Caenorhabditis elegans: one gene and its partners. The protein of the gene in region 3 purifies or fractionates together with the protein of the main gene of each other region. This does not show direct contact. Each region holds a gene or a part of one and is shown on either strand. Other genes may lie near its edges.

What was found. Proteins that work in one complex are often made in the same cells at the same time.
Region 1: the proteins of lec-10 (region 3) and hrg-11.3 purify together in Caenorhabditis elegans (affinity purification with mass spectrometry, with the first as the bait; one study listed by BioGRID). This does not show direct contact.
Region 2: the proteins of lec-10 (region 3) and irg-7 purify together in Caenorhabditis elegans (affinity purification with mass spectrometry, with the first as the bait; one study listed by BioGRID). This does not show direct contact.

The regions. Positions count from the first base shown.
Region 1 is NC_003284.9:11,496,869-11,501,629, reverse strand, and holds the start of hrg-11.3 (C-type LECtin), read left to right. Parts: upstream 1-1,630; 5' UTR 1,631-1,780; coding exon 1,781-1,841; intron 1,842-1,887; coding exon 1,888-2,122; intron 2,123-2,173; coding exon 2,174-2,417; intron 2,418-3,166; coding exon 3,167-3,299; intron 3,300-3,344; coding exon 3,345-3,414; intron 3,415-3,521; coding exon 3,522-3,591; intron 3,592-3,634; coding exon 3,635-3,695; intron 3,696-3,833; coding exon 3,834-4,064; intron 4,065-4,111; coding exon 4,112-4,539; intron 4,540-4,584; coding exon 4,585-4,716; intron 4,717-4,761.
Region 2 is NC_003284.9:3,240,506-3,245,505, forward strand, and holds the start of irg-7 (Protein irg-7), read right to left. Parts: upstream 3,132-5,000; 5' UTR 3,120-3,131; coding exon 2,940-3,119; intron 2,897-2,939; coding exon 2,785-2,896; intron 2,731-2,784; coding exon 2,108-2,730; intron 2,062-2,107; coding exon 2,001-2,061; intron 1,936-2,000; coding exon 1,765-1,935; intron 1,718-1,764; coding exon 1,646-1,717; intron 1,600-1,645; coding exon 1,408-1,599; intron 1,360-1,407; coding exon 1,242-1,359; intron 1,193-1,241; coding exon 1,072-1,192; intron 1,026-1,071; coding exon 882-1,025; intron 836-881; coding exon 1-835. Other genes in the region: F40F4.7 (N-terminal methionine N(alpha)-acetyltransferase NatE), read right to left, coding at 3,761-3,886, 3,929-4,016, 4,153-4,355, 4,942-5,000.
Region 3 is NC_003283.11:6,487,693-6,491,026, forward strand, and holds lec-10 (Galectin), read right to left. Parts: upstream 1,429-3,334; 5' UTR 1,320-1,428; coding exon 1,299-1,319; intron 1,232-1,298; coding exon 950-1,231; intron 902-949; coding exon 626-901; 3' UTR 511-625; downstream 1-510. Other genes in the region: cpt-6 (Choline/carnitine acyltransferase domain-containing protein), read right to left, coding at 2,518-2,751, 2,927-3,115, 3,163-3,334.

The DNA of each region.
Region 1 (4,761 bases), on a different chromosome or scaffold from region 3:
TTAAACACTGTGGGGGACTGTGCTTTTCTTTTTACAAAGGTTGGTACAAACTCATTCTTTGTCGTTTTTGTCTGTTAATATAAACATTTCAAAATGATTTGACCAGTTTTAGTACGATATTCGATACTTTCGGCTCTACAGGAGTAGTTTTAGCCAAAAATCCAATTTTTCAATCATTTGTTATGCTTGTTACGCTATTACCGTATTTCCTCTATTAGTCTTGCACCCCTATGTGACGATTGAAAATTATTTTCGCATGCAAGACTAATAGAGGAAATACGGTATGTTATTCAAGAGTTCAAAACTATTTTAATCGGAAGATTAGTTTAAAGAAACGAGCAACTGTATTCAGTACAGTTTAAGTGCAATCTTCAAAACAGTTCATTAACGTTCAGTTAAGTTAAGTTCATTGAGTTCCGGAACATAATCCTCGTTATCATAGTAAGATTTAAATTTTCTTTTACTCATCTCAATAGTTTCACAGACGACACTCACTTGACCTGATGAAATCACTATTACTGATTCAGAAATAATTGAAAAATTGCATTTGCAGATATTTAGTGCCAGCAGTAATGTAATCATTTTCGAACATGGGTGTGTTCATATGTAGTTGAAGGTACACAAATTATATCTTATAAACAAAGATATTTGATTCTTTCCATGGTGCGGTTGATGTTAGTCGGCCTGAGCGGAAAATATTTAGTTTTAGCCAAATAATTTTTAAATATTTTTAGACAATGTTTCTAATAAGCATTTTTTTACAAAATTGTTTCAAAACATTGCTACAAAATTTGACTTGAGTTCCATTTTGGGTGTGTACTCCTTACGTAAATTAATTTGTTGGCAATTTTAAATTGATAGGTCTGATAAGAAATTGAATCATATCAGGAAACTACATATTTCCAACGAGTCGGTATGCGATCAAAAGCGAACTATCATAATTGCACAAACATATCGAGGAACACTGTGATTATGCAAATTTTAGTATAAAACACAAAGAAATATAAAACAATCTTTTTCATAACATTCTTTCTCTGCCCTACACTATTTAATACTTTCTACAAAATTTTTGAAATTTATAAAAAAACAACTACAATCTGTTCAAAAGTCAATTAAAATGCTACGATCTCAAAAAATCATCTAAGTATGCACGAAGAGCGTTTAGAATTATTACAACCAAGTTTATATATTAACCGAATTAGTACAACATATTAACCACATAGCATTCGTTTTGATACATATCCATGACAAATCTGCATTTCAGGGTTTCCGAGATCGATCTGATTACTTGAAAACTGAACCGTTTTTAAAATCACAAGCAACAAGTAAACATTCCCAACAATGATAATAGTCTAATTCAAAGTAAAACGTAAAGCCAGTAGACCGAACTACACTGTTGTTATTTCCAAACAGACTTAATGTTTTAAGCCAAATATTTTCATTCATTTCATTGTTGTAAATGTTGCTTTGAGCAATAATATCTAAAGGTGAAGTAAATTCCCACGTTTACTTTTGCTCATAATCTTTATTCATTCGAATAATATTCAGAATTATCAAAAAACCATCGTTATACACGCCTGTCGTCGTGGTGCCATGTGCAATCACTTGATAACCATATTAGTTCTTGAAGGCAAAAATGTGGCAGTCGGCAAAACGTCGGGGCAAATAGCAAAATTGGCTTATCAAACAATAAAAAATTTTCACGGTCTTACATATGCGATAGGGCAAGACAAGCCCTTCCAGTTTCAGTCCGCTGCTGCTCGAGTCGCCACTGCACACGATGCGGCTCCTACTGGCTTTATTTTTATTAGTAACAGCAGTTGCAGCTGCTCCAAATCTTGGTAACTCAAACTAAATCTATTTTACAAAAACAACTTTTTTTTTCAGATTCCGTATTTCATCACCTACCAAATTATTATCCCGAACTAACAAATACTGATGCTTTCCATATTCGAGCAAAACGTGCGATTTTTGCCGTTCTTGGAATTGCCAACCAATGCGAAAATGGATGGACTGGTGATGGATGCAAAAACCCAATCTGTACTGATCCAAAACCTGCACCAACATCTGGACAGACTTCCAGTATTGAGATTATGTTTATCCAAGGAAGCTGTGGTGGACCGTAAGCATGAGTTTTAATTTAGTTGCTTCAAAACGATTTTCTTTTTTCAAGATTTTACATCCCTGTCGATTCAACAGGCAACAAGCCTACCCAAACCATTCAAATCCATGTTTCGGCTGCTGGAATTCCATATGTGAATATGACCGATGCAAAGGGAGTTGTATTTTCTCCATCTTACTCCGTAGCCGACGATAGCTATTCTCTGAATGTCTACGCCGATCTTCCATCTGGTGGATATACCTTGTCCATTGATAACCAGGGTGTTCCAACAAGCGAATGCATCATTGAAGTTAATGTAAGTGAGATTTTGTAGTCTGCCTTCTAGTTACATTTCGCACATTTTCATTCAAAATGTTCAACATTTGCCATCGTAACAAGATGAAAAACTGATAACCATGAGTTGCCTCCCTACATTTTTACGAGTTCGGCATATCAAAATGGGCGCGCTAAAAATGAATTAAAACGTGGAATTGGAAATAAAATGGCGCGTTATAAAAATACTGTATACCATGTCGTTATTAAAGATCAAATCAATGAATAATATAGTGAATTCATCAAAAGAACCTTACCTAAAGTTACATAATTTCTGAAATTCTTAAAACCTGGAATTGTCTACTAAAATTAAGAACAAATTATATTTAAAACAACGATGTTCCATACTGCCCAAATGAATTGTATATGTCATACATACTAACTTATATTTTGCTTCAAGTGCACCGGGAAGTTTTCAAAAGTTCAGACATTGATAAGGAATGTCATTATTCAGATTATTTTATGAAATGTAGTTTTCCTAGCAAAAAAAAACGTTTTTATAAAAATAAAATAAAACAAAGGTTTTTTATCTCTGATTAACCATCTTTGATTAACCAACAACCAATTTTTAATTTTGCAATTATAAATTTTGTGCCAGCAGCCATTTATTTATAAAAACTGCGAGAGTTCCAACATATAAAGCATTATATAAAGCATATTTAATTTATAGTTTTCAATTTTAAGTAATTTCCATATAAATTTCAATACAAAAGCACATGAAGTCAGTTTTAGGGTGACCCCAGCGGATTGAAAGCTGTGGATGGATTTGTGTATTCTCCACAGTCAGACGACCCTCCATATGGTGAATCTGCAATCAACGGTGTTCCGATGTATATGGCCGCTCACGTTGACAATTCACCAGCTCGTTAGTTTCGTTTTTTAAATATAAAACAAAATCTTTATATTGCAGAAGTTCAATCTATCACCATTCGCCAAGGCAATTCTTTGGCTCCAGTCTACAGAGCAGCTCTCACAAGAAGGTAGGGAACTGTATTTGTGGAAATAATTAGCATTTAGACTTGATTTATCTCCTGAAAACATTAACACCCCTATAAAAGCAAATCACTTTCCCCATTCATTTTTTCAGGTATCAGTGCGGGTATGAATACTATGCAGGACAGTGGCAATGTCAACTTGGAAATGCCTACTTCTATCATGTACTACGAAGTTCAAATTAAAATGTTTAATGTTTTCTTTCAGATTGATGGAGTTGACGCCAACGGATTTAACTTCAGAAGAACCGGAAGATTCTCATGCATGCGTAAGTCAACAACGCTTTTGTTATTTGAATGATTAGTTTTCTATAAGCTGAAAGTGTCATGAGTTTATTGAGCTCAGGCGTTCAAGAATTATTAGTTTCATAACTGTTAACTACAAATTGCAATCAGTCTTTTTTCAGAACTTCTCACATCACCAGCTCCTCCAACAACGACCCAAGCTCCGGTGACAACTTGTTTCAACAATGGAACACTCCTCAATGTTGCTAACCAAGGCCAAACATGCTTCTGCTCTGAGCTGTTTAATGGAAAACAATGTGAAAAAGTTAACTGTATGAACGCCGGATTCCCAGATCCAGACGGTAATCTATGCGAATGTGCTGCTGGATACCATGGAACAAACTGTCAAGATGGTATGTTAAGTTTCAGTTATATTTATATATTAAATATATCTTTCAAGTTACCTGTCCACTGAACTGGGAACAATATCTTACCAACTACAAGACATTGGTTGTTATCATTCGAAGCACCGTTTCGATGAATCAAAACCTAAATGCGATCTCCAGTGCTATCTACAAAGAACTAACAAGTAACGACGGCAACAACTACGAAGTATACAAAGGATTTGTCATTGTTAAATTTGCAAACGGTGCTTACACCAACACCTACTACCCAGCATTTGACCAAAATGCTTTCCTGGCTGCCATCAATCAAGCTTCAACTGCTGTTGGACAATGTTCGGATGCTACTTTTGATGCGATCGGCTCTATTTTTAACGAAGTCGCTCTCTATCAAAAATCTCCAGTCTATTTGTTCACTGACGCAACTGCTAGTGATGTCGAGAAATGGCAAACCGTCATTGAGCAAAACACTCGCATGAAGTTCCCGGTACTACATAACTGATGTTAACATAAGTAGAAGTTGCAATTTCAGATATACACTCACTACTTTGTTCAATCTAATTGTGCATTTGATGAAATGAGCCAAGGTTTCCAAGCCATCGAATACGCTTCTTACTACAGTGGAGGACTTATCCTGAGACCATCTGTTGACTCTTTGCAACAAGTTAGTTTACAATTTATCCTACAACACCATATTTTGCTTGTTCAG
Region 2 (5,000 bases), on a different chromosome or scaffold from region 3:
CTCCATTGTAACAAATAATGTTCTGACAGTACGTTCCTGTGAACTCCGGAGTACAGAAGCAAGTGGTGTTCGATGGGTTCATTACTCCTCCATTTTGGCATTGATGATCTGGTGGCGGGGTAGGATGAACGGCAGCACAGAACATAGTTCCGGCACGTTGAAGAGCCATGTCATTATTATCACGAGCAAAGAAATTGAAGTAAAGAACTTCTTCTGGAACACGGCAAGTGAATGGTGGGAAGTAGAAGTTGAATTCACAGGCATCTCTGTACATTCCACTTGATCCGTAAACCTCGGTTTGAACTCCGTCACGAATAGCATAAATCTGAAGATTGGCATGCACACGGTCCATTGAGAGGAACTGAGGGTAGTTGGTAACATGGAAAACTGGAGATGAATCAAATCCAAGAACTGGCTGACGTAGAACTCCTGCTGCCGAAGTAAGAGTAGAAGCGAATGACCAGAAAATATCATAGTCGGGGCTGTATTGAGTTTGTCCGCCAAAGTTGAACTTCTTCTGATAAACCTTAAACGTGCAAGCTGCTTCTGGTTCAAGTGATCTGATAGAGAAGAACCATTGACCAGCAACTGGCGAGTTATACGTCCAAACATAGTTCACACCATCAGAAAAGGCGGTGTTGAAAGTTGGATACTGTCCTGTTGGGCTTGTCACAACTAGAGTCAAATTTGTTCCAGTGGCTACAATTGTAACGTAGTCAACGCTAAGATCAAAGGCAGCTGACTTGTACAGATTCTGGCTGGAGCAGTGTGAGTAATCTCCGGAAAGAACAAGTTGGGATCGGAACAAGGTGTTAAGCATGTGTCGGTAGAAGAACTATAAAAGTTAATTGATATGGGAGATATAAAGTGAAGTGACTTACGGTCGAAATAGTGCTTCTGTCGCTGAAATAGAAAGTGTTACCACTTGAACGAGCAGCCATGTCCACCATATCTCTATATGCAGAGTTATCTGGAGATGAGTTACATCCATCGGCTGGAGATGGTTGAACGTAAATGAAGTAGATCTGAAATTTAAATAGAGTCAACATTATTTGCTTTCATGTTATTTACCGGTGCTCTCCAATAAGATTCCAGATGGAACACAGTTTCCTTCTCAGCACTATCATTTGGAGTGGCGTCCGTAATCACATAGATCGGGGATTTGTTTGTTGGATAGAGAGAAAGTGCAGATCTGTAATGAATTAGCATTTTTAAACATTATTACATACCAGTGAACTTACGCAACAGCAGACATGACAACATCATCACATCCTCCTTCGCTTGGAGCGGAATGGATAGCTTTTGTAAGATCGACCATTGCAGCGTCCCATGAATCATATTGTCTGTTCACCAAGAGCTCTGAAATAATACACTTTCATGTCAAATATGTTTTAGATCAAAACTCACTTCCGTTATCAAAAAGAACAACAATGAACTTTGATAGATATCCAGGTTCACTAGCGAGAAGATCAACAATACTTTGAACAGACTCAGTTGCTTGTTCAATAACTGCAGAGAGCTGGCTTCTTGATCGGATGACAAGGGTGAGAGTTGGGTTTTCAGCGTTGAAGTCAAAGCCTGACATGTCGGTACACAAGACTGCAAAGTTATTATGTTTTAACAGATAATTTTTACTAGTGCATACTATTCTGGCAATGGAAGCCACTGAATCCTTCTGGGCATTGACAACGGTCACTGGTTGGAGTCGGCAAGAAACCTTAATAGTTATTATAAAAAATATATAATTTCAAGGATGAATTGTACCTCCGTTAGCACAGAGCATTTGCGAGCAAGTACTTCCAGAGTAAAGTCCAAAGCAATAACAATATGCAACTCCATTAGAGTCAGTAAGCAACTGCCCTCCGTTTTGACAAGAAGTTATCGGTGCTGCAGGTGTTGTCGGGACAGCGGGGGTAGTAGTTGTTACTGGTGGTACTGAAAAGGTACTTTTTCTTAAAAGTCTTATATAAACTTCTTATATACACTACAAAGAAACTCACAGACGCATTGGTAAGGAACAATACGACGGAACTTGTAGCCAGAGTTAGTCACACCCTCCACCTGAAAACAAAAATTTGAATGTTTAGCACCTTTGGTTCAATCGAACTTGAATGAGATTGTGTCCAGCATCGTTATTGCTGGTTTTTCTGCAAGTGTATCTCTCCAAGATGTATGGATAAGTACAGTTGAAACGGGTTGTCATTGGAATGTATCTTGAGATGTGGTTCTCGGCACCGGTAAATCCAATTGCTTGGATTTGACCAGGAAAGTCCAAACCTTGAGCATGAATTGCAACAACCGACTCAGTATCGAAATATGTAAACTTGAGATTTGGATAGTCACTACGCTCGGCTTGATCTCCTGAAGTGAATCCACCGGAAACATGAATGCTACTGCGGGATGACATCATCATTGTACAAAACTGCTCGCTGGTGTCGGCTCGTGGTCCAAGCATATATTGTCCGGGAGGCAGATGCAAATAATTTGCAGTGAACATTGTTGGAAGTTGAATGGATTCGTCTGGGAATATGAGATCTCCATTTTCAGCTTGAAGATAGAATGTTGGGTTCAATGCTGACGCCGTCTCGACTTCAATTTTGATATTCCGCATCGTCTCGTCAACGACGACGATGTATGATTCAGAGCAATTAGCCAGATTGTAAGCATCAATTGCAATGTCATCAAATCCGTCGTTGTTCGGAATGTACGGGTTGCGAGCAGAACAGAGGGCTGAAAAATTTCTGCGTCATGGAACATTTTAGAAATATAAATCTTAAAACTCACGATATTGGCAAGTTTCACCGGTGTACCCTGGCTTGTTGCATCCTCGAGTAGCCATTCCAGCCAAAACGTGTGGTTCAGCAATGGATCTTTTGGAAATATGATGGGTGTCCAACTGAAATTAAAAATTCGAATCGCACCTGTTTGCTAGACCTTACAAAAATAACCCTTTCTTCCATAGTCCTGTACTTTTGCTCTCTGACTGGCTCGAAAAACTGCTTCTGCGATGCCGGACTCCATGATCTCAAAACCGCGCGTATTCTGTCCTTGTGACTGAGCTCCTGCTCAGTCGCCAGGCAGATCACGGCCAGGGCCGCAATCAAAACCCAGTTCCTCATTTCTAAATAAAAAATATTAGTTTTTTTGGAAGCAAACTTGAAGGGGTATTATCAACAGCTTAAAATGAAAAAGAAGCACTGGAGTAATGCGACTAAAAGTACTATCAAGAAAACCTTATAGCAATCAAAGTCGTTAAATAAGAAAATGGGTTGGGCACGCTCGTAACATCGTGGCAACTTCTTATCTTTCAATGCTATGCATAAGGGCATAATAAAATTTTCCCCCGGGCTCTCCTGATTTTTCATGTTCTTGTTAACAATAAAACGCCTTACATTTTTATGAGTCAAAATTCAAAACATAAAATTTGCTCGGACAATAAAAGAACCTCGACATTTAGAATTCACAATCGAATTACCAGAGTTACCAAAAAACAAAAAGTCAATAGAATTGAAAATGATGATACATGAAATAAAGCATAGAAAAAATGGGAAATCTCAAACAGACATGGTTTTCATACGGGTAGGCACGGTTATGCTTGAAGATGGGAAAGAAGACAAAACAACCATGCTGGCAATTGTCAATGGCTAGAGATCCAACTTGCAGACCAGGCTTGGATGCCACCAGTCGCTATGATAAAAATAAAGTAATTTTGAAAAGGGAAACAGTTCAGATATTGTATATCAAAATGAGCTATTCTAGTTTAGTGGCGGATTCGTTTGATGAGCAAGTAAGCGTCTCTTGGGCTAATACGATAGTAGTCCTCGATAATTCCGTCATTGGTGAAGCCATGCTTCTCATAGAATTGCACCGCATTTTTGTTGTTGACCTGGAAAATTACTTTTTTTCAGATCCACTTTTTTCTGGATACCTGCACATGTAAGTACATGGTCTTAATTTCTTCCATCTTATTGCACAATTTTAATGCGTAGTCGATGAGAATTGTACCAATACCGATTCTGAAATAGCACATTTTATTACCTCGTAAAACGCCCTTGGTATAATAATTAACGCTATTAAAACCGTCATTTTCAGGTAGAACTGTACCAAAAAAACGTCATTGATAAGGTAAATTTGATCTGACTCAAAACTCACTGTCGGTAGGCGGCAAGGGTTCCAAGTGTCATGAGATACAACGACTTCTCGTCTGAAATATCGTCAATGCGACAGCACACGGCGCCCACGACGACATCGTTGTAGTAGGCAAGACGTCCAAGTTCTCCGCAATATCGAGCTTCCACATAGAACTTGTCGTTGTAGGCAATTGGGAAGACATCTTCATTGAGCTTTTTCAGTTGCTGAAATTATAGTAAATTGAAAAATCGAGTTTCGAGTTTTATGAAGTTCGTGTATTTTTTGTTGAGGTTTGAAAAACAAATAGGATTTCAGAAATCGCGTTTTACTGATGAAAATGGGAAGGCTAAATTAAATTTAAAAGGTGGAGGTTAAAATCATCTGTTTGGTTCAAGAGTGAGTGAAGACCTTCAGCAAACTTTGAGTGTGCTTCAGCAAACTTTGAGTTCAACTACTTGTCTGACATGCTCGGTAGGCTACAACGTATTTTAACAGCTCATTCTATGCCAATTTACACAATTTTCACAGGTACAGAATACAGGGCAATGTTGAAAGCTTCAAAAATGAACAGCAAAGTCGGCCTAGGTTTGCTTTTTTAGCCATTCACAGAATATATATAAATCGGAACAGAATTTTATTGAGTGGGCTCACATTCACTGCGTGCAAGAGTAATATTCAATTTTTTAAGACGCAAAAATTAAGGCTACATCATATTCACATTGATCGAGAAAATATGGGTTTCATTTAATATTATGAATTCTAGTTCGTTTCATAACATACATTTCCTTCAACAAATTAATAAATTCTCACCAAAATGTTGTGCGGCGTAATTTCTCCCAAATGAACTGTCCCATGACCGGCAATTGTTT
Region 3 (3,334 bases):
TTAAATCGGTGACTTTCCTGTATATATGATGATTTATTTGACAAAAAATGTTATCTGAATATTCTCATCTGAAAAGAGAATCCACTTTTGATGTCAGTTATTTTATTTACGAACTACCTTTTGGTTTTATCCTATTTTGTTTTGAAATTTGATTTATGTGCATTCGTTAATAAAAATTAATATATGCCAAACACATGTGTATCATGAAAAAAAAGACCCCCTGACTGACTGCCTAATAGGCGGCCTTCATGCCTCCTGCCAAAATACACATAAATATTCTTCATAGATTTCCAGTTGAACTTCCAGAAAACTAATTCTACACTTTGCAAGCATCTGAATATAGTTATTCAATTCCCAAATTAATAAATTAAGTGGTAGGCGAGTAGGTATGAGGCAGGCACGCAGACATAAAAAAAATATAATATTGACTTACTGTTTTAAAATTCAGTTTTCTTTGCGAACGTTTGAAAGAAAATGGAGAGCAAAGGCTTCTGAGCATTAGCGATTTTTAAATTTAAACATTTTTTATCAACAAAAACTCATAAGACATGCAAAATTTATAAAACAACTTGACAATTAACGTCGAAAATTCCAAAAAATACATTAAAAAAATAAGATCCCCGATTTATCTGTATGGGTTGAAGTTTTGGACTGGTGGTGGTGGTGCTCCGTATGGCATAAAGTTTGGCTGAACAAACACTGGAGCAACATAGGTTTCAGTTCCATAGGCATTGTATCCAGAGTGTCCATGATCGACATGTCCGTCCCAACGACGTTGGAAGTGGAATCCTTCGAAGTGAACCTTGTCAACATGAACGTCTCCCTTCAATCCGATGGCTTGAACCGATTGGTATGGGTAACGATGTGGGTAGTCGGCGAGGTGATGACCGTTCACAGAGATCTGAAATTGAATACAGTTAACTATAAAATTAAATACGTTAAAACTTACATGGTAATATCCAGCGTGAACCTTGATGCTAAGGTGGAAGTGCTCCGAGTGGTGAAGTGGGTTTTTGTGACGGATTTCTGGTCCCCACATTCCACTGAACTGGGAGTTCATGACAACGACGTGTTCATGATGGAAACGGAAGTTGACATGAAGAACAACATTTGGTCCGCTCAAAAGCTCGACGGCAAAGTTCTTGTGATGTCCGTGACGAACATGTCCGTGAACAGAGATGGTGGATCCATCTTGAAGTGGCTCGAAGATCGAGAGAGCGGTTGGGACACCCTGAAATTTGGTTTATTGAAAACTTGAAGTTTCCAAACTGGAAAATTCTAGAAAATCAAAAACTCACGGGGTTGTGATAGGAGTGCATGTTAGTTGATAGTAAGACCGATTGAACCGATAGAGAAGTGAGGAAATGCCACGACTTTTATTCAAACTCTTATCGATATTTCTATGACATCAGGCGAGTTTTATTTGCTTAAAGACTAAGAATCAATGGGAGGTATCAGACACACTTCTACATTTGGGAAATCAATGGCAAATAAAGAACTGAATAAGACTAAAAGTTGGAATTCAATGAAAGAGGATGTAATTACTCAACTGATGGGGAAGAAAAATCAAATTCAATCGTTGCGTCTGATTAGGAATGAAATGTTTCTGTTAATAATTTGCAAGTAATCAGCTCGAAGCATAATTTTTTGTTGGTTTATTTTGTTTTTCAGCATGACGGAACATCATTTTGGAAATACAAAAAGTTTTAAATATCAAGTTTTGTCTAATAGAGGGTATAAAAATTGTATTTAGGTTACAGATCTAAATGATTTCTCACTATCATTACATCATTTTACAACATAATTCTACATACAAATGCCACGAATTTTAAAAAATTAGATGTTAAATAATGTTTTGAAAAGGTGTTCAGATTTCTGTAGTTATGAATATGAAAGGATTGTTGTCCTCGAAAATGTTTCGTTACGTTTGTTAATTTGGATTAGTTCATCTAGAAAAGGGTGCGAATTCAAGTCACATCAACAATTTGTCAGCTAAACAAATAGTCAAGTTTGCAAACTTTCCAGAACTGTTTCCATGATTTCAAAAACCTACCGAAAAGATTGGCAAAATTTCATATTTAATCTTAAGAGATTTAAGTTTCAATTTCATTCATTTTCAGATCTTTTTCCATCTTTTTTGGTGCACTATAAAAACCGTTTTTTGCAGTTTTTGTGCTAAAATCATCTTTCCATCGGCACACACAACGTGATGCTATCAAAAATGAAATTCTCGTACAATTGCCATTTTTGATCGGAAACTCTGTTTGACATTTCACCAGTTTTACATGAGTCATAGTCTGGTGTACACCAAGAATTGAGCATAGATCGTGAACTGGTCATGAGTCATTTCAGGTGATTTTTGAATGGGTCATACACGAGAGAATTTTTTATTTAATAAAAATTATTTTATTGACTGAGTGACAGTAATATATGAAACAGGTTAGAATGATAGTGCAGAATGAGTTCAAATTGGTACAAGTTATGGGTATAAAACCGTTTGTTACAAAATGGGATGGTTCAAACGAAAAGGTTTGAAAGTTCGTGGAACGATTCGGAGAGCAACTTTGCAAACTTTGTTGAATCAGTGTTGGCAGCGGAATGATAACTTGTGATGTTTGCAAAGATTCCGTGGTTTCCTCCAAAGCGATAGCAGATTCCGTAGCCATCAGCAGCGACTGCTCCGAAGCATGCTCCGAGCCAAGTGTTGTCTGAATCAGTGTCCTCGTCGCATTGATTAGTCACGTTTGGAACCTGGAATAGGATATGTTCAAATTGTAAAGTTAAAAAAAAAATAATTAGGAAAATCCAGAAAAAGCAATTGTTGAAAAATGTTTGAATTAAAATCCTTCAGCTCATTATTAGAAAGTTACGTGATACAACTGCCAAATACATAGCACTATGTCATCTTATTTTAATGATTACTCACATGTGAGGTAGATAGCTTCCACTTTTGATTAATATAATTGTCAAGGAAAGGACTCTGAATCCCCGTTCCTTGAGATAAAATATACAGAACAAAGAGATGACGATCGACTCCTTGCCCAACCATACACTTCTTGTTTCGAAGAACATGAGTTTCACAAGCTTTTTTCAAAAGAGCAATCTTGGCTTCTTTCTGAAATTTGAATTTTTCATCGTCTTAATAACTTCAAATTAACTTACCGTTTCATTTGCATTCAACATAGCTTCCACAAATTCACAAGAGTGATCGTTAACTGTTCTCAAAGTTTCGGTCCTCGAGTTTGCAAAGAATCGAGCTGATGCTGGTTCATATGTGAGCACAAATTTGCCTTGATCTCGATAGTTGGCAAGTTGAATAGCCATTTGAATGAAT